Linked DNA regions of Saccharomyces cerevisiae S288C. The gene in region 3 interacts genetically with the main gene of each other region. Each region holds a gene or a part of one and is shown on either strand. Other genes may lie near its edges.

Region 1 (7,519 bases), on a different chromosome or scaffold from region 3:
TTATGTAGGAATGAGAAAGATGGGTGACGATTCGAGATCCGATGAGAAGAGAATCACAGCTACCACAAGACAACTTGAAAGTATGATTCGTTTGGCTGAGGCGCACGCCAAAATGAAATTGAAAAACGTCGTAGAGCTGGAGGATGTTCAAGAAGCCGTTAGATTAATTAGATCAGCCATAAAAGATTATGCAACAGACCCTAAAACCGGTAAAATCGACATGAATTTAGTTCAAACAGGTAAATCAGTTATTCAGAGAAAACTACAGGAGGATTTGTCAAGGGAAATTATGAATGTTTTGAAGGATCAGGCATCAGACTCAATGTCATTCAATGAGCTTATAAAACAAATCAATGAACACTCTCAAGATAGAGTTGAGTCTTCTGATATCCAGGAAGCCTTGTCAAGATTGCAACAAGAGGACAAGGTCATTGTCCTTGGCGAGGGTGTAAGGAGATCAGTTCGCCTGAATAACCGTGTCTGATGCTGTCTACTACAATCATTCCCTGCGTAACAATTAATAAATACTAATTAATTATAGCAAGTTTGTATTTTTTACATCCTTATGCTTTGTAACACTATTCAATACTGTATGTAGGCTCGATTGAGTGGGCGGCTTTTTTCTTATTCCTGATTGGCTGAAAGAAAATATTGTTAAACGCACTAAATTTATCCCGAAGGATGATTACATTTAAAGACCGAAAAATGAAGATGCAAAGATCCCTCATATTTTCTACTCCAGTCCAAATCGACAAGATAAACCTGCCGATAAATCATATTTCAGAACGCTAATCAATTCATCATGCTAAGCAGGATCCAAAATTATACCAGTGGGTTGGTTTCTAAAGCAAATCTTTTGTCATCAAAGGCTTTATACTATGGTAAAGTCGGTGCCGAGATTTCAAAACAGATTTATTTAAAAGAGGGTCTTCAACCACCAACTGTTGCCCAGTTCAAATCAGTGTATTCGAACCTTTATAAGCAGAGCCTAAACTTTGCTCTAAAGCCTACAGAAGTTTTATCGTGTTTAAAAAACATCCAAAAGAATGAACTATTAAAATATGGCGCATATGGTATTCAGTTGATAGGGTTTTATTCTGTCGGTGAAATAATTGGAAGAAGAAAATTAGTGGGATATAAACATCACTAAGCTTTTTAATTCTATCTATTCGCAAAACCCTTGTATATTCGTTAATTAAATTAAATCAATGTACAAATAGAACAAAACTAGAAAAAAGAATATATATTCATCTCAATTCTATTTATTTTCTTTTCATGACATACAATGGCATTAAAAGCGATATCGAGTTATATTACATTAGCTTCTTGCCGCCAGTTATTTATGAAATAGGCCAATATAACTTTTCTGTAAAAAAGAAAACTTGACCTCAGAGCTTTCATTACACTTATTAAGAACAACATACTTGTTGCACTATAGTAAAAACTACAGTGAAATTGATCTCAGGATCATTAGTAATTTTTCTCACTATAAGAAAAAAAAAAAAACATATATTTTGCTATGAATTATAATAAGTAAATATATACATATATATGTACAGAGAAACTGACGAAGAAAATAAATCACCCGTTAATGCTTCTTAGGTGCTCTTGAAAGTTTTTATAAACTGAAGAGTCAAACCTAGAAAAGTTATTGTCCAAATCAATGAATGTTTTCGCAATTTGACAGCTTTTATAGTAATAATTGGCATGTTTTCTATCATCAGAGTAAAACTTTTGCTGTGGGAGTTCACCGTTACTATGAACTACTGTCTCTTCATTGCCTGCGTCGTCATCGATACAAAATCTCTTCCTACCCTCTCTGCTTTTTAATTTGTTATCGGGGGAGGGAATAAAGCCCTTGAATAATTCATAGGCGGCCAGAGTGAACCCAAATTGGGGAGAACTTCTTAGGACACGGGCTCCACCACCTTTGAAAAAGCTTCTAAAGCTCTCTTCCTTTAAGATAGTTCGGATAGCATGAAATATACCGTTATACTTTGTCTCACCTTTTCGAGGATCTATCTGGAGCCTTGTTTTTATAACATCAAAAGGAGTAGTCAAGAAGGCAGCTGGCATACCAGCAATGGCACCGGCAGTTAAAAGCTCCCATGTTTTTAATCGATTCCTCTTTGTTTTATCATTTGGATCAAAATCAAAGAGATCTTTTTTTAAATGTGCATAAGTGGGAAAATAAATAGCAGAGAATGGAACATCTCTCATTAAACATGCGGCTACACCATTGTACAAGCCCCTCAGTCCTAATTTTTTGACTATTTGAGTGGCAGTTTCATTGGCTTGTTGTATGTTTTCACCAACATAGTCGGATTGGACCTGTAGCCTAATTTTTACAATCTCTAACGGATTAGTAAATATAACTTGACATGCACCAGCTGAAGCGCCAGAAATAATTTCAGGAAAAAGGCTTAGCTTGCCGTTTTTATCAGTCAACCTGTTTCTCATAAAATCATTGACAGTCAATTTTATCGCCTTTTCAGGAGCAACTCCTATTAATTGTGGCCCTAAGCCAGAGTAGAGACCTTTTATTCCTTCGCGGGATATAATCTTCAACAAACAATCAATTGAGTTTTTGTATTGGGCTAAAGATCTTTGGGCTTGCATCCTTGTTTTTATAAAGTCTATTGGGTATACTACAGTTGCACCAATACAACCCGCAATAGAACCCAAGGAGAAATTGTACAACGAATCGAAAATTGGATAAAAGTAGTAATTAATATACAATGACTCATTTTGATTTTTTTGCAATTCCATTTGGTGAACTAAGTCGTTCAGGTAATTTGGGTTCAAAATTTTCATGAAATCTTCAATTGTTAAGTCAGAACGCATCGTTGCTTTATCTTTTTTACCTCCAAATACAGATTCAAACAAGCCAGTACTCGCTTTTGAAGCTTTTTTAACACCAGAGTCTTGGTCAAATCCATCCGAGAGATCATGATAATAGTCATTAAAACTTTCTAAATTTTTTCTGGATCTGCTTACTCCATGCAAATACTCATTATGGATAAAAAAATCAATATCTGAATCATAATGGTGATCATTTAATAGCTCGTCATCTCGATCTTGATTTCTCTTTCTTAATCTTCTGTTTTCCTTTGAATTTGCGACGATAGAAAATAGTAGGTTGATTTGGGAAGGAGAGAACTCAATGATATTGTTTACTTTGTTATACTGGGCGTTTAAAACTGTCATAAAGTCATTTTTAGTAACTATTTGTTCCCTAATATCCTGCTCATTCAAATTATTTTCAGTAACATACTTGTGAAATATTTGGTTCAGTAGGTCAAAATTTTGAAATAAATAAAATATATCCTTGAATACATTGTACGGAATGGAATTATTGTCCGCTTTTAGTAATTCGGTGTTTGATAGATTCAAGGAGGAAAATATATCTGCAGACACCCTGTGAGAGTAAAATAACCTTAGAAGATAGGTGAGTTGATTTTTGCTTAGGGCTAAACGATGCCCTTGTGAGTCCATCTGTGCCAACCTATCAAAACCTATAAATATTTTTTCATTCTTAAGATCATTTTGTAAAATCGTGACCAGAGAGTTTAAACTCAAATACTCTTCATTTTCATGATAACATTTGTAAAATTTCAGAAATCGAAAGTCATTCCAATCAAGTAGTAATTTGTTATCTTTAACAAAATTATCATCAATAGATTCGTGCAACAGGCGGATAGTATCTTTGAATTGGTTCAGATTCAAAAGAAGATCATCAAAGCTTAGAAATCTGTTACCATAATTAATTGACTTAATTCGATCATCTGCAGCCTTTAAATTAAACGACGAACTACCAAGCTCTTTTTTTTGTTTTGCCTTCAAATTCTCTACATCAAATTTCCTAAAGAACTCATATAGAATAATGAGATGATAATTATCATATTCTAATAAATTATTAAAATAAAACCAATCATTAAGCGTCAGATATCCCTTGTTTTGTTCATCAATAGCGAAGAAAATACACCCGAAAACGTTCTTGGGTATCTGGTTCAAATTGAACGAATGGTCCGTAAACTTCGAATAAATAGTCTTTGAGCTAGATATCAGTTCAATGAAATCGTCGTATGTTAAAATTAGTTCTCCTGTAAGCTTCTCCGTGTCAGGTTTCCCATTTCCTGCTGTGAGTTTACTGGAGTTCACTGTCGGCATATCTAACATACCATTACTGATACTAATAGGCTTGTCCTCTTTTGTAAGGACACTTGCAAAATATTTGAATACTTCCAATTGTTGCTTCTTTTTTCTACTGTTCGAATTGATTTGCTCCATAATAGTATAATAATTCTTTAAGGTCGGTAGCAAAGCTGCATACTTTCAAACTACGCTATGAAAGTTATGTACTTTTCCAGTGAAATATGTTCACAAAGAAGGGATCAGGCTACTTCGAAAATTATGGCAAACGCGAGGTTGTGAGATAAAACTTGAAAGTCTGGTGAGATTAGATATCAAATCTTAACATATAAAAGACAGGTTCGTCTTGAGGTATTTATCTATCTTCGAAATATTTTTTTCTTTGCTTCGAATACTGGTTAATTCTGAGATTCAATATATGTTTCGAGATGTTTTTCCAACATGCCGGCAGTACTCCCCTAAAGCGATGCTGCAGAAATTTTTCATAACCGCTTGCAGTGGGATGACCAATAAAGAAAGCTCTTTCTCCTACGTAAAACATAGATCATACTTACATGTAAAATATGAAGCGCAATTATATACAGTGTCGATTTTATTTAACAATTTCACAGCTGGCAGTTTACAAATGTTTTCATAACCATTTCATTAATCTAACAATAAATATGATGATTTACCAATATACGAATATAAACTAAACATCAAACATGTTATGACAAGTGGGTGACGTTTTCCCTAGGCTCCTTTCCAAACAATTATCGAAGAGTTTTCCGAATTCGCGCCCTAAATCCCAGTAGCTCTTGTTGAAAATATCTCTCATAAACTGCATCATCCCGCATAGAAAGTGGGTATTAGAAATATGTTGAAGTAAACTCGCTTTTGCCCAAACGTCATTCTGAAAGCTAACTACATCGAGTGAGCTATCCACATATAAGTTCCGATACATTCTCAATAGGTAAACTTCAAAACTTTCTATTGGAATGTAATTGTTCTTTTCCTTTAAATTGTTGTTTGCAATCGTCGATCCATTATTATCAGTATTGCCTAGAATGTTTCCACCATTGCTGTCATCTGGTTGAAAGCATTCATCCTTTGAGGCTTCTGTATTATCCCATATGCTAACTTCACAGCCATGTAATGCAAAATTACAAGACCAAATTAGGAGTGAAGTTAATGCAATCGCATAGGGTCTAGTAATCACAGGATCAGAATTTATATTGTAGCTCTTCACTACGGTTGGAACGTTATTTTCCTTAATGATAAACATTTCAAATAAGAACTGGAAGGCATAGACTACAGCTACACCCCCATTGTAGGGGTCCTTAGCGAACTGGAGAATCCTGCGACTGATCATGTCATATTCATCGCGACCAATTGGTACATTCATTCTCCAAGGTGCTCCTGCATATATGTAATAATCATGATGAAGAATACGTAGGACAATTTGAGAGATATGAATAACGGGAATTTTACAATTTGACGGATTATCGGAGGAAAGCAAGTCCAAATCATCATCACATAGTCCATCTCCATTATCCTCGTCAATTTTTCTGTTCGTTAGTGTCTCCTCAGATGGAGTACTTATCCTACATGCTTTCGGATCAGTGCAGCTTTTCTGAACTTCGTGAAGCCAATAGTTCATTGCAAATGATAAAATATCTTTCCATGAAAGGCCTAAATGATCAGTGATTCCGCCCCTAAAGTTAGTAATGAAATAGTCACCATTAACTTCCTCTTGACATTGAAATAAGATCGAAATTATCCCCGCCAAAAGAATCTTTTTACCAAAAAGACTCTGAATATTCCAATCTGTAGTGCTTTCCAAGTCTGTAGGGGTACTCTCTATTCCACCATTGTTGACTTTGTTTCTCCGTATATTATTATTTCGTAAGATTTGAATGACATTTTTCATTAATTGCATTAACGCAGACAAAAATGTATTATTCTCATCTCTCTTTGTGCTGCCATACCCATGCTCCATCAGAGTTTCATAGCTCAAATCATAAGATTCCCACACTTGATCTGGACAGGGTAAAGTTAGTTGAATCTGATTGCTATTAATAAATAAATTCCAGTATCCAAACACTACAGCATGTGTAGTGTCCATATAAAATGCGTAGAAAGCTATTCTTTTCAACATTTCAAAATCAATCCATCTTTTATAAACTTCTTGTGGGTCTTGAATTGAATTTTCCCCAGAGGTTTTGCCGGTTTTGACCATTAAGGGATGGCCGCCTAAAGAGGGCGTTCGCCTTAGCAATTGAATGGTCGTTCCGTGATGTAAAAAAGACCTTTCATGTAAATACCTGTTCGTACTTGTTTTTTCATATCCTTCGACTAATAATAAACTTTGAATGATGTAGGTTTTAGAAGGTGGTTGAAAATCAGCATGAGAAAAAATTATCCATCTTAGAGGACCACAAATTGGGTCACTAATCTGTTCACGATACTCGCTTCCCAAAAAACTTGCGCCAGTCATAATTAGTGCCAAATTCAAAATTGCAGGCTGTTTATCAACGTGAAAAGAGGGTTTGTGAAGCAGACCGTATTGTGGATGGAAGTTCAACCAGAAGGATTTTAACGATTTGTGTATAGATTCAATAGAGACATAGCGTAATTCTGGAACAAATGAAAACATTTCTTGACATTTTTCTTTTGATATCTTATACTTTGTTAAGGGATCCGGATGGAAAAATGACGGGACACTTTTCATAGAGTGACGCAACTGTTCCTTGTAGTTCAGAGAGGAATTGTTTCCTACTCCTGAATCTTTAGATGATCTCCGTTTTAGCTCGTTGATATTAAGCTTCTGACTGGAAAGATTGTCCTTCACTGAAGTACTGGGGTTATCGTTGAACTTCGGTTGTGCTTTGGGAATTTTAATGTTATCTTGTGGTAACTCAAACATAACTGGAGGATTCTGGAACCCTTCGTCTTGTTGAACAGGTTTTTCATTAGGTGGGATTGTATTCTTGTCAGAAAATGTATCTTCAATACTTACTTGCGGGGCTTCAGAAAGTTCTTGCATGAAAGATTGTAATGGGTCGCTGTTCAAAAAATTTGTAGAAAAAAGGTCCTGCATAACTGACAAATTAGCACCGCTAGAGGAAGATGTTAATGGATCTCCAAATGGATTCTGGGGTGGTAATTGTTGTTGTTGTTGTTGTTGCTGTTGCTGTTGCTGTTGCTGTTGGGCAAGCTTTTGCTGCTGAAAGTACTGTTCCTGTTGTTGATCCTGGGTAAGTGGCTGGAGTGGCTGCTGATATGAACTACTTGCAAAATTTCTGTCTTGATATCGTTGCTGCTGCACGGCTGGATTGATATTCATATTTTGGTCATTGCCATTACCGTTGTTATTCGCTGCATCCAC
Region 2 (2,895 bases), on a different chromosome or scaffold from region 3:
AGAAGTTGTCGAGTTTTTTTAAAGTACATTTCATTGGAACAACTAGTGACTAGTTCGAACGCGGAAAGACAATAATAGTACCCATAACGATAACTCCTTCGTTATCTATTGAATAGCTTGCCTTTCAAGTAAATCAATAATCAAGTCTGCGTATATCATTTATCGAGCACTTCTGAAAAAGATACCAGTTACACTGAAATACAACGATCGGATTACATAATGAATAATAACAGCAGAAACAACGAAAATCGAAGCACTATTAACAGAAATAAAAGGCAACTACAACAAGCAAAAGAAAAAAATGAAAATATTCATATCCCCAGGTATATTAGAAATCAACCATGGTACTATAAGGATACCCCCAAAGAACAAGAAGGGAAGAAGCCCGGCAATGATGATACGAGCACTGCAGAAGGAGGAGAAAAAAGCGACTACTTGGTGCATCATAGGCAAAAAGCAAAAGGGGGTGCTTTAGATATTGACAATAATTCAGAACCAAAAATTGGTATGGGTATAAAGGATGAGTTCAAACTAATCAGACCCCAGAAGATGTCCGTCCGAGATTCTCATTCGCTGTCATTTTGTAGGAATTGTGGGGAAGCAGGGCATAAGGAGAAAGACTGCATGGAAAAACCTCGTAAGATGCAGAAGCTTGTTCCCGATTTAAATTCACAAAAAAATAATGGCACAGTTTTAGTACGAGCTACTGATGATGACTGGGACTCCAGAAAAGATAGATGGTACGGTTACTCAGGGAAAGAATACAATGAACTGATAAGTAAGTGGGAGCGTGATAAAAGAAATAAAATAAAAGGAAAAGACAAATCCCAAACTGATGAAACACTATGGGATACAGATGAAGAGATAGAACTAATGAAGTTAGAACTTTACAAGGATTCCGTAGGTTCATTGAAGAAAGATGATGCTGATAATTCTCAGTTGTATAGGACATCAACGAGATTGAGAGAAGATAAGGCTGCTTACTTGAACGACATAAATTCAACGGAGAGTAATTATGATCCTAAATCAAGATTGTACAAAACTGAAACACTGGGCGCAGTTGATGAAAAATCAAAAATGTTCCGCAGACATTTGACAGGTGAAGGCCTAAAATTAAACGAATTGAACCAGTTTGCTAGATCTCACGCTAAGGAAATGGGTATACGTGATGAAATTGAGGATAAGGAAAAAGTACAACATGTTTTAGTCGCCAATCCTACTAAATATGAATATCTGAAGAAAAAACGGGAACAAGAAGAAACCAAGCAGCCCAAGATTGTCAGCATTGGAGATCTGGAAGCTAGGAAAGTAGATGGTACAAAGCAATCTGAGGAACAACGGAACCACTTAAAAGATTTATATGGTTAAGTTATATCATTTGAATTTCCAATATCCTAGTCACGGAGCACGAGAGGTAAAGAATTTAGAAAAAAAAATGCGATGAGCTGAAAAAAATTGTCAAATATAAACTACATTCTTAAGTATACGTATATATCTTGCGCATTCACGGCATAATACACTAAATAGACACTTAAAAAATCGAGTGAGAACATTCACAATGGAGACCTCCAACTTTGTTAAACAATTATCGTCGAACAACAGAAAAACCAGGGTAAATGCACTCGAAGCGTTAAAGAAATATCTAACCGCTAAACAGTTCAAGGAGAACAAACAAATAGAATTCAATAAACTTTGGAAGGGTCTTTACTATGCAATGTGGTTCAGTGACCGTCCTAGACCTCAGCAACGTTTAGCCAATGAATTAGGTGAATTGCATGGATTATATTTTGATCCTAAGGACAATAGCACTGCAGATGAGTTGACCACAAACGATAAAGCATTTATAAAGTTTAGCAGAGGGTTTTGGAAGGTCATGTGCTTTGAATGGTTTAACATTGACAGATATAGGTTGGATAAGTATCTTCTATTGATAAGAAGGGTATTATTCAGTCAATTGAAGTATTTGCAGTCCAGAAACTGGGACAAAAAATTAGTCGACGAGTATATTAAGAAAGTGTTGAGGTGGTTACCTCTGAGTGGAAGTCCAAAGGTCTACACAGGGATTCCAATTCATATCGTCGATATTCTGCTGGACGAATGGGAAAGATTGCTTAAAGATGGAGATGAAGACGATGAAGACGAGGAAAACAAAGAGGAAGAGATGCGCAAAATTGCAGAGAGCGCAAAAAAAACGCCACTAGCCGATGTTATCGCAATTTTCCAAGATATCGTGGCAGATTACAATAACAGTAAGGTGTTGAGAGAGAAGATCAAAGAAGACCTATTCAGTGACACCAGACTTGTTTCCTGGGATATTCTTGAAGGCGAAACGCAACATAATGATTCCAGTAACGAATCTGAAGAAGAGGAAGAGGAAGAGTGGAAGGGATTTTGATTCTTCCTGGCGGTAGTATGTAAGTAATCGTAAGTCGCTCATATAAATTGTAGTTGTATATCTATAGTACGAAAAATTCATTACCCTCTGTGGATATTGGCGGAATGCGAAACACGTCGCCTTTTTTTCCTCGCAACATTTTTTTTATTTTTTTTTCGTTTTGAAATGAAAGAATACTAGTGATTAAATTAAACAAGGAAAATAGTACAGATTGGCGTGTATTGTCCATAACTCGTGTCCATTGTCCGCACTACGCTAGTTTACCAAAGATAAAATCACGTATAACATTGAAAAATAAAATGGCTAGAGCTAGTGAAAAAGGTGAAGAGAAAAAGCAGAGCAACAACCAGGTTGAAAAGCTGGTTGAAGCACCTGTAGAATTTGTCAGAGAAGGTACTCAATTCTTGGCCAAGTGTAAGAAACCTGATTTGAAGGAATACACCAAGATTGTCAAGGCTGTTGGTATTGGTTTTATTGCAGTCGGTATCATTGGTTACGCC
Region 3 (4,688 bases):
TAATTGGAAAACAAAAAACTATCCAAAACCCTGGGCAAAATAATTATTTCGAATAAGTACCTCGACTTCAAATCAAAACAAACAAACAAACAAGCAAACAAACAAATAAACAAACAAATTCTCTGTTCCTATTTTCTTCCTCTTTGTTCTGCACTTCCAGCTTTTTATGCGAGAACATCGTGTAAACTTCCTATTTAAGTAATTACATGGCTGAAAAAGTGAACACGCTAGAACACGAAAAGACAAAAAAGAAAAATGGAAAAAACAGAGGAAAATCAAGTAGAATAATGTTTATTTACCTTTCACTCAACTGTATCTTTTTGTTTATTTACTTTTCGAGTTTGCATAATTGTACTGAATCAATCCTTGCGCAATTTGGTTTTGAGAAGAGTTTCCAGTAAAATAAAATGCAAAATTATTGTTTATATACTTATTTACTAGTATATTTAATTGAGCTAAGCAAGGATTTATGTGTTGATGCTTTATTGTGCTTTTTGTACTGGACTTCTTGGTCTTAACAGCTCAATCTCATTTTTTAATGGGATATTCGAACCTAAATTAGCTATCTCTTCTTTATATCTCTTGGGTGAGAAGTTATCCAACATAACATCTGGGCTCACTATAACCCAGCCAGGTCTTACTTTGACGGGTGTCTCGTAACCAGTCCTTGCAGGAATAATATGTAATCGTCTAGTCGCGGTAGAGAAGTTTTCTGCAATACGATACAAATGGGATGGTACAGCACCATTAGTGGTGTCCTTCGTTTCGATACTCAAGTCAGTGTCTACGTTACAATGAATAAGATGTCCATCTGTAGACCTCCTTACTGTACCTGTGATACACATCCAACAGTGCCATTGCATTTTTTCCATCAACGTTTCATCGTCCTGATCTAAACCTGGATAAAACGGTGATTTCTTGTCAATAGGAACAAAAACCAATTCTTCACTTCTTCTAAACTTTTTAGCCCATATTTCATTATTCAAAAGTTTAGTAAGTTCATTGATTTTTTGAGAATTGGCCCAGATGAACAGGAAACCTGGTTTGGAGATCAATCTATCCAATGGCAATTGGGTTAAAATTGGGTAAATAAACTGATTTTCTGTTAAGCAGCCAATCATCACCACGTCGAAAGTCAAATTTTCGTTCTGTATCCAGTGATTCAACGTTGGAACAATGGAATCTATTCCGATTTTACACCCAAATGGCGTAGTGGCAAATTGATTTATTTGTTTAGCTTTCGCCTGAAATAATTTCTGAAGTTTTGGATAGCCATCAACCCTATTCTCAATATTAGTAACATGCTGTTGCGGTAGCGACTTCCCATGAATGTAGTTATTCGAGTAATCGTTTGTATGGAAGTCTCTAGAGGGTTTGAATGATACGTGTTTAGATTTCATTTCTATTGTTTCCTGGTTTGGCCCTTGCAAGTGACTGTTGTTGATGTGTCTGCTTTTATTCTGGTCGTAAGTTGGATCTTGGAATGCCATCTTAATAGTATTCTCACTTCTCTTTTGTTTTATAATGGCTGTTCTACTTTCTTCTATGTCATAATATTTAACAAAAAGTCGCACTTGAAAAGTTGAAACAAGTTATGTCGCAAGATGAAACTCGGAAATGACGAAGTGTGAAACAAGACTACAGAGCGACAAAAACCAAGCTGCAAATATACAGTAATGAAACTGAAAATATGTCCAGCAAAACTAAAATTGTTTGAGCTCGATACTAACTTCCTTCTTTTTTTTTTTTTTTTTTTTTTTACTTTTGGCTATCCTATTGTAAACGCTGTTTTACCCTTTTGCAAAGCATTTGATCACAAGATATATCCCAAAAACTATTTTTTGACTTAAGGCATTAAGAGGAGATAAGGCTCCTAATGTCACATCCAAAAGCCAAAGTATGGGACAAGCATTTCGCCCCTTTGCTCTTATTGCTTCTTGTTAAGTAGAAAGGGTAATTATAATCGAAAAATTCGCGGGAAATGATTTCAATGTTCGACTCTGAGGTAAGAAGTAAAGAGGAGATGAATAAAAGTAAAGGAAGAAGAAAAGAAAGTTGAATGGTTTCGAAGAAAAATACGGCTGAAATCAGTGCAAAAGATATATGGGAGAATATATGGAGTGGTGTAAGTTCGCTGCTTGATTTCTTCGCAGTATTGGAAAACCTAGGCGTGGTCAACGATAAGTTATATGTAAGTGGGCTATTACGGAAAGTTTGGCTGTGTTACTCGTGCATTTCAGTGATAAAATGTGTATGGAAATTAATAAAATTATGCAAGGTGAAATTTAAAATCGATCAACGATTGGATGGGGAGGGAAATGGTCTAGTAAAGGATAAGTTGATAAACTTCAAGAAAAAATATAACGAACATATCAGACATATTACTGCTGCTTTACTCCAAGATTTGAGCTATTTAATGGTTTTAATCTATCCAGGGACGAGGTTATTTAAAAGATTATCTAACATAATAACACTTTGTAGAATAATTGTATAATTTTATGCTTGAACGAATTTAGTTCTGTAAGCCCAGCTCCTTCAAGAAAGCATCCTTAGAAGGTTCCCTACCCAAAAATTCTTTCAGATTATCATTAATATCATAAAGGCCACCACGAGCCAACACAATATCACGGTATTGTATCCCATTCTTGGCATTTAACGGATCCTTAGCGAATTTGGTGTGATACATATCAGTTGCAAAGACTTCCGCCCATAGATAACCGTAATAACCGGCAGAGTAAGAGTCTGACATTATATGGCCAAATGAATCATAACCCTTGGATAACGTACCACCATTAGAAATCAAAGAAATATCCTGTCTCAATTGGTTCCAGGTATCGCAAATTGACAGGTTTTGCAAGTCTTTACAAGTATGTACTTTCATATCAAATAACCCAAAATGTAATTGTCTTAGAGTGAATAAAGCACCATTTACGTGTTTAGTTTTGATCAATGAATTGATCAAAGATTCTGGAATTTTTTCGCCCGTTTTGTAATGTGATGAGAGGTTGATTAATTCATTCTTATTCCAAGTCCAAAATTCTAACATTTGGGAAGGTGCCTCCACAAAATCCCATGGAACAGATCCGGGGCCATTAAACCTCGATTCCTTGTTTTGTCCCACCAGGTCATGGATACCATGGCCCAATTCATGGAAAAAGGTCACTATTTCGTTATGCTTCAGTAGAGAAGGTTTATCCTTCGTAGATTTGGAGAAATTGCAAACCAACGCAGTAACCGGATACGATCTTGTGGTGTCATCAATCATGAATGATGACGATAAACCAAAATTGGCAGCGTGGCCATATTTACCATCACGAGGATGTAAATCGAAATAAATCCAACCAACAAAGTTTGGAGACTTTGGATCATCCATATTCCAAACGGCGATTTGTTTGACGTCGTCATGCCAAACAGATTTGTTTTGAGAATCTTTCGTCTCGATAAACTTCAAATTAAACAATGTTTCGTATATTTCCAGCATACCAGTAATCGTAGCCTCTAGTGGAAAATATTCAGAAATCTTTTCTAGGTCCACATTGAAGTTTTCTAACAAATATTTGTTATCGTAGTAACGGTGGTCCCAAATGTAGTAGTTTGGATCTGCACCCTGGTTAAGTTTCTTAACATCTTCGGCTTTCATATCTTGCAAGACCTGTAGTTCCTTTCTGCCCAGCGGAATTAGCTTGTCCTTCAAATCATTCAAAAAGTTCATTACCGTAGTGCTATCTTCAGCCATTTTATCATACAGGTTGTAGTTCGCATACGTGTCATAGCCCAATAACGAGGCCAATTCGTCACGCAGCTTCAATGTATCCAACAGTATAGCTTCATTTTCAGGGACCTTATTTTGGTCGGCCAAAAAGGCCTGCTTTCTAGTCTGAGCTGAGGATGCCAATTTCATCACGGGAAAAATGTCCGGATATTTGAAGGTGACTTTATACAAGGTTTCATTGCTATCTTTGTCAGATTTTATTGTCTCGAACTGCGTCAAAATAGAATCCGGCACACCTTCCAATTGTTCTTTGGTGAAAGTGATGTATTCCTTTTGTTCTCCCAGATTCTTCGAAAAATTAATAGAGTTAACGGAGATCTTCTTTTTGATCTCTTTGATTTTCAATCGGTTTCCCTCGTCAAGTTCCAAACCAGAATGAATGTAGTCCTTGTAAGACTTCTCAACGTATTTGAAAGTTTCTCTTTCCACAGAATCTGCCTTCGATTGAACATCCTGCCAGACGCGGGCGAATTGCAAAAAGATGTCGTGACGCAGAGATAGATCGATGTTCAACTCATCCAGTTTCATTGAGGAGTTCACAGATGCGTCCCTAATTTCTTTATCAGACGACACATGCTGTAAGAAAGTTAATTGGTTAATTATTGGGCCCAATTCATTTTCAAACTTCATGAAAGGCTCCACAAAATTACTCACGGAAGGGCTCTCTACCTTACTCATAGAATCATAGAAATTGTTGCTGTTGTTGATGATTTCGTTGGTTTTCCCACTAATATCGCTGGGAGTGAACGACCAATTAGGCGGGGCCTGGGGAGCAATAGGGAAACTAGTAGTGTTAGCCATTGAATATAAGGAGCGGGTATACAGTAGTGGTGAGATTACAGGTGACGCAAACCAATTCTTGCACAGCAACAATCGCATCTCCAAGTATTCCCTCTATTTTTAAACTCAAATCCAA
Region 4 (6,180 bases), on a different chromosome or scaffold from region 3:
ACCATTGGGTTGACACCGTGTTAAAAGTAGTTTTTGACAATGCGAATGGTAGGGACATCATTTTTTCGTCATTTCATCCGGATATTTGCATCATGCTTTCGTTAAAGCAACCGGTTATTCCGATCTTGTTCCTGACGGAAGGTGGAAGTGAACAGATGGCCGATTTGAGAGCCTCATCGTTACAAAACGGTATAAGATTTGCTAAGAAGTGGAATTTATTGGGGATTGTATCTGCTGCAGCACCCATTTTAAAGGCCCCACGGTTGGTGCAAGTGGTTAAGTCTAATGGGCTGGTATGTGTCACTTACGGTGTGGACAACAATGATCCCGAAAATGCCAGTATACAAATTGAAGCAGGTGTAGATGCCGTGATCGTCGATAGTGTATTGGCAATTAGACGTGGGTTAACCAAAAAGAATGAAAAGTAACGAAGATACACTACTTTTATTTTTAATTTATTTTCTTTTTTTGTTCGTAAATTTATGTATGCATGTGCTTAACTAAAATAAAAAGAGAATGCTTATTTTGATAAAAGGGATGATGATATAAACTACAATAAGGTTTCACCCAATGCACACCTTGCAATGGCGCAACCTGCAGAGATGGTGTTTGAAACATGGATATCATGAATAGCCAGATCAGGGTTACATTCAACAACGTCTAGCGCAATTAAATTACCGGATTCGGCCAATCTTTCCACCAAGAAAAGACCTTCTCTCAAGGTCAACCCACCTCTCACTGGAGTACCTGTAGCAGGAATGTATAATGGGTCTACACCATCGACGTCATAGGAGCACATAATGGGACCTTCACCGTTTGTTTCTGGGTGCACGGCTTTCATTGCCATTTCAATGACAGCGTTGATGCCGTATTTGTCAACGTGGTACATGGAAAAGGCGGCGATACCCAGATCTTTCAAGATTTTCTTTTCTCCGGCATCAACATCTCTCAACCCAATATACGCGATCTTTTTTGGGCTCAAGTTGCCTGGAACCCATTTGAGCGACTCGGGACAATGTGGGACATCCTTGTTCAAACCCATTAGGAATGACACGGGACAGCCGTGCAAGTTTCCAGAGGGGGTGCTTTCTATGGTGTTTATATCAGCGTGGGCGTCTATCCATAAAAGACCAGCATCGGGGTATTTGTCCAAAACCGCGGATACAGTACCAATGGCTATTGAATGATCACCACCCAAGGTCAAGGGGAATCTGTTCGCCTGGACCACTTTCGACACGGAGTTGTACACCAACTTGGTGGCTTCACCAACCAAATCTGCTCTTTTAGCCTTGACACCGTCTATCATAACAGAGGAACCCCCAGTTGTGGAGTCCTTCTCCATTTTCAACTTTCCCACAAATTGGGCCTCGTCCATTGAGGGCTCTAATTCCGTAGACCAGCCCAAATCCTCTATGCTTGTTTGCAGACCATGCTTAAGCATGTATTTAGGGCCCTTCTCGACACCAAGCTTACCCTGACCGCCGCTGAATGGAGCCAGAACGATGGACAATTCGCGATTTTTGTAGTAGTTGTAATGAGGTCCTGTTTCCATCTTGATAGTAGTTATTGTTATTGATATAGTTGTTGTTGTTGTTTCTGCTAACTTTGAGAAAACATATACAGACCAAGAGAAGAGAAACAGTCTTAGATCTTGATAGAAAGTGGGCCGCAAGCTCTGCTTATATACTCTTTAGACCCCTCGGCGGCTACCGCTAAGTGAAAAATTCAGCGAGCGGCGATGCGCTGTTGATTGCCATTAGCAGCACGGTGCTTTGCGAAGGGCAAGAGCTAGAGACTATTCGCACTAGCCGATATTTTCGCGGCGTCTCGGCTTCTTGTAAGGGATAGAAAAAAACTGTTAATGGAAGGAGCAATCAAAGGGCGGGGATCGCGGGCGACGGTGCGGCATCGAAAAAGTGAAGAACCAGTAAAAATAGAGGTGGGGTTTATCAGTGTTGATATCTAAGTTTATGATAAACATTGATGAGTCAGGGATTGCACCCGTAGTTCATCCGTATGATGTGATGTTGTTTGTTTTTGTTTCATGTAAGGTTGCTAGAATAGGGTCCTGTCAGACAGTATGCGTAGCTTTACCATCATTTCGCCGCTATATGTGAAGGGCCGTAAATTGGATATACGGTATGTAAAAATCAGCGGAATATTATGATGAGAAGTGAGAAAATTGAAGTCAGTAATCTTGGATATTCAGAACTGTCAATCCTCAGTTTGGCCAATTTTATTTAATTTGTTAATAGCAGAACTTACCGGGCGGTCCAGTTTTGCCTACACGGTTTGGTATAAAGTTTAAAAAGCATATATACGAGCTAGATGAAGTATCCAATAGAGTTTTTCTCACGATGGTATTGGAATAGCTTCCTTGAAAGGTAACTACATACAGTGTCGAGGAAAAATAGACAATTACTTAAAGGAGTAAATGTTACTATACCTGAAAGAAATTAAGAGTCGCCATGCGTAGCAGTAATCACAACCGACATCGGGGAAGAGTGAGGGGAGCAAATTGGATGTAAATATTTTGGTGAATTTGCTCGGTACGCGCTAAACTCACATGATTTAGCAGCGCCGTGGCGCAGTGGAAGCGCGCAGGGCTCATAACCCTGATGTCCTCGGATCGAAACCGAGCGGCGCTAAATTTATTTTTTTCTTTTTACTCTTCATTTTTTTTCCAGGTCGGTGATAGTATATGAAATTCCGGTGGGATTGGGCTTATTATTTCAGGTTATATAATTTTTGAAATACGTTTTTCTTCTTTCTTCTCAGAATCATCGGTAATTTGTATGCTGGAGAAAGTAACAAATAGAGTCGATATCCTCAACTTCCCTGTAAGTCTTCACCTATAGAAACTGGTCGTAAAACAATGAGTCAGTTTGGCACGACAGATATCGTTTCCGGTTCAGAAACACCACCTTATTCTGGGGCAAGTTACCAGGACGCCCAGGATGACAATACCCATCCACATTCATCAGACGCCGGTGCAGAGAAGTTCAGTGCAGGCAGTGGAAGCGAGTCGCATACTGAATCCTCGAGAAGTGATGATGAGGATTCTCAAGCAAAAACAAAGATGGTGGATAATATTACCATCTTAAAATATATATTGGATTCTCTATCTGGTAGAGACAAATTAGCCAAAATTATCAAATACGCTCTGGATATATTAAAACTGTTTATCGAAAAGTCTAAGCGAAATTTAACTGTTTTGGACCCTTCCGTATTAACGTACTATACCAAGATTTTGAAAAATCTGACTGTAAAAGTCGCACTAAGGCATCCAATCACGGTAATTAAAGTACTTCTCCTGTCTCTTTTGAGAAATTTTGACAAGAAAATTGATTTTATCAGTCAACAATTAAGTACTTTTAGATATATTTTAAGGTTTGGCGGCACACCATTCCGAGTGTGCAGTTTCTTGGGGAAATTCAATAAAACCAGAAAGTGCAACTTTCAAATTGACCAAATTAAGAAAATATGGTTTAATGAAGCTTCATTGAGAGAATTTTTGGACTTGTATTATGGTATCTTTGATGAATTAGACTTGCTATACAAATTGAAAATATGGACAAATAAATCATTCTATTCCTTTGTCAGTAGACAAGAGTCTCTTGCATGGCAATACGACATTCTTTTAAGCTTGAAGGACCATTGGCTCAACCTGCAAAGCTTACAGAAGAGACAATTAGAATTGGAAGTGCAACTAAAAGTTCAAAATAACGCGTTACTACTCTCACCCATACTGATGCATCAGGCCCATAAAGACGATGGCTCACAATCGCCAATTAGGAAACAGTTGTTAAATGACCTAAATGTTAATAACGACGCAGAGGTGTTAATACACAAACAACTAAAGGCCATCAAGGATGAAAAGACACTTGTTTATTTAGATATTGCAAGATTATCGTTTGATTGCATGGCTAATACATCAGATATTCTAAATTTAAAAACTCCAAAGGGAACGTATGCCGTTCTGTCCCTGGGATCCGGCTTAACTGGACTGGTTAAACTTTGGATAACAACAAAGAGGTCACTTTGCTCTTCAAAAGATTGATATATAAAAATATGTATACATATAGATATGTACATATATATGTGGCGAATAATGTTTTACCTCTGCATTTGTATTGTTATTTGATTCGTTGAATAAGATAGTTTGGCGCTCGGTTTTTGCTCTTTTTCTTCCGTTTTTATGTCATTGGGGTGGCGGTAGTCATTCCGTTTTACGGTATGTTTATTCTGACACTTTGACGCAGATCTAAAAGGTGGAGTGTGGAGTACAAATAGCTCTCTCTCAAATACAGAAAAATACTTGAGTGTACAAAAGTAGCAACCTTTAAATAACAATGATTACTTCAATTGACATAGCAGATGTAACTTATTCTGCCAAACCAAGAATTTTGGTGCCTTATAAAACCCAATGGGAAGTCGCCAGTCATCTTCCTGAATATCGCAAACTGGCAGAAAGGGTAGAATTCTATAAATATGAGATGTCCACAAAGGATGATTTTGTTAAATTTTTGGAAACTCATAGAATAAACGGCTTTTGGCTCACTGAGGAGTTTTTCACTGTGTTAGGAAACCCTTCGAGTTATATTGAATTCTTCCCCGCATCTTTAAAAGTAATCCTTGTACCATGGGTCGGCTGTGACTTTATTGACGGTAAGTTATTAAGATCGAAAGGTATCACTTTATGCAACATTGGACCACATGCTGCTGACCATGTCACAGAATTGGCTATTTTCCTAGCAATTAGCTGCTTTAGAATGACTTCATTTTGGGAATATTGTTTTAAATACGTGGAAAATGGTAATGTTGAACAGTGTAAGAAATATATCTCTAGTGACTCGTATGAAATTGTTACAGATAGTTACCACGGTCAGGAAATGAAATTTCCCTCTCGAACAGACAAATGCAAGCCTAACAAGGATAGGAAAGTGGTACATTTAGCAGAAAAGTACACGGTTGGCGGGAAAAAAATGGAATCTCCAATGAATAAAAAAGTTCTAATATTGGGGTTTGGCTCCATCGGACAAAATATAGGGTCTAACTTGCACAAAGTGTTCAACATGAGCATTGAATACTACAAAAGGACCGGTCCCGTCCAAAAGAGTCTACTTGATTACAACGCTAAGTACCATTCTGATCTAGATGATCCAAATACTTGGAAGAATGCGGATTTGATCATTTTGGCCTTGCCCAGTACGGCCTCTACAAACAATATTATCAATCGTAAAAGTTTGGCCTGGTGTAAAGATGGTGTCAGGATAGTTAACGTTGGGAGAGGCACATGCATAGATGAAGATGTGCTACTAGACGCTCTTGAATCTGGAAAAGTGGCAAGCTGTGGTCTCGATGTGTTTAAAAATGAGGAAACACGCGTTAAGCAAGAGTTACTTCGCAGATGGGATGTTACAGCTTTGCCACATATCGGCAGCACAGTTGCCGACATGGTCATAAAGCAGACACTCATCACACTCGAGAATGTGCAGGACATATTTGTCGAGGGAGGTGATGGTAAGTATGTGCTCAACTGAACCATTCATTATGTTACAAAGATAGCATTTCAATTAGGATTACATACGTATATGCATTGCTCTTTATACCACAACTCTAAGAATGTCGAAAGTTATATGGCGGCGGTGATGTTGGAAAAAAAACGCGGCCGTTTTATAAAGAACAATAATCGTCTGACTAGGTAAAGTACCAGATAAGAACCGTTTTTATTGCGCGTATTGGTATGTTTTTTAAACGGAATTTTTCAAGATTGTTAAATACATCAACGATATATCCATTTTAATCACCGTTTACCTTTGTGTGTTAGCTTTGTATCTGGAAGTTTTTTCTCTTTTCTTCTTTGTCCTTGCCTTCTACCATTTTGCCTTTTGTTCGAGTTCGTGATTACATCAGGCATATACAACATCACGTTTGTTGAAACACTGGCTGCTAGGAGTATCTGTGTGTATATTCTAGAATAAACTCACACTCAACTAACAGCACGCAATGACAGATAATTTGACCACAACTCATGGTGGTAGTACCACCCTTGAATTGTTGGCGCAGTACAATGATCATAGATCCAAAAAGGACAAATCTATAGAACATATAGAAAAAGGAACATGTTCAGGAAAAGAAAGAAATCCGTCCTATGATGAAATTTTTACGGAAAACATT

The links.
Region 1: of PEX34 (region 3) and AGC1, extra expression of one rescues a mutant of the other (dosage rescue), as found in Saccharomyces cerevisiae (one study listed by BioGRID).
Region 2: mutations in PEX34 (region 3) and RRP1 together harm fitness more than expected from each alone (negative genetic interaction), as found in Saccharomyces cerevisiae (2 studies listed by BioGRID).
Region 4: of PEX34 (region 3) and PEX25, changing one suppresses a phenotype caused by changing the other (phenotypic suppression), as found in Saccharomyces cerevisiae (3 studies listed by BioGRID).

What each region holds. Positions count from the first base shown.
Region 1 is NC_001148.4:599,068-606,586, forward strand, and holds AGC1 (citrin), read right to left. Parts: upstream 4,291-7,519; coding exon 1,582-4,290; downstream 1-1,581. Other genes in the region: MCM DNA helicase complex subunit MCM4, read left to right, coding at 1-484; ATP20 (F1F0 ATP synthase subunit g), read left to right, coding at 803-1,150; SDD4 (Sdd4p), read right to left, coding at 4,844-7,519. UniProt on the Saccharomyces cerevisiae protein: Calcium-dependent mitochondrial aspartate and glutamate carrier. Transport of glutamate in mitochondria is required for mitochondrial transamination reactions and ornithine synthesis.
Region 2 is NC_001136.10:616,970-619,864, reverse strand, and holds RRP1 (Rrp1p), read left to right. Parts: upstream 1-1,558; coding exon 1,559-2,395; downstream 2,396-2,895. Other genes in the region: mRNA splicing protein SLU7, read left to right, coding at 220-1,368; translocon subunit SSS1, read left to right, coding at 2,695-2,895. UniProt on the Saccharomyces cerevisiae protein: Required for 27S rRNA processing to 25S and 5.8S.
Region 3 is NC_001135.5:24,731-29,418, reverse strand, and holds PEX34 (Pex34p), read left to right. Parts: upstream 1-2,059; coding exon 2,060-2,494; downstream 2,495-4,688. Other genes in the region: KAR4 (Kar4p), read right to left, coding at 483-1,490; PRD1 (metalloendopeptidase), read right to left, coding at 2,513-4,651. UniProt on the Saccharomyces cerevisiae protein: In concert with the three peroxisome divisional factors, PEX11, PEX25 and PEX27, controls peroxisome morphology and abundance under conditions of peroxisome proliferation. Maintains mature peroxisomes in actively dividing cells.
Region 4 is NC_001148.4:335,316-341,495, reverse strand, and holds PEX25 (Pex25p), read left to right. Parts: upstream 1-2,875; coding exon 2,876-4,060; downstream 4,061-6,180. Other genes in the region: GDE1 (glycerophosphocholine phosphodiesterase), read left to right, coding at 1-428; CAR1 (arginase), read right to left, coding at 551-1,552; YPL113C (glyoxylate reductase), read left to right, coding at 4,353-5,543; GTPase-activating protein BEM3, read left to right, coding at 6,010-6,180. UniProt on the Saccharomyces cerevisiae protein: Required for regulation of peroxisome size and maintenance. Has a role in the import of peroxisomal matrix proteins. Imports RHO1 into the peroxisome. Also promotes peroxisome division and biogenesis.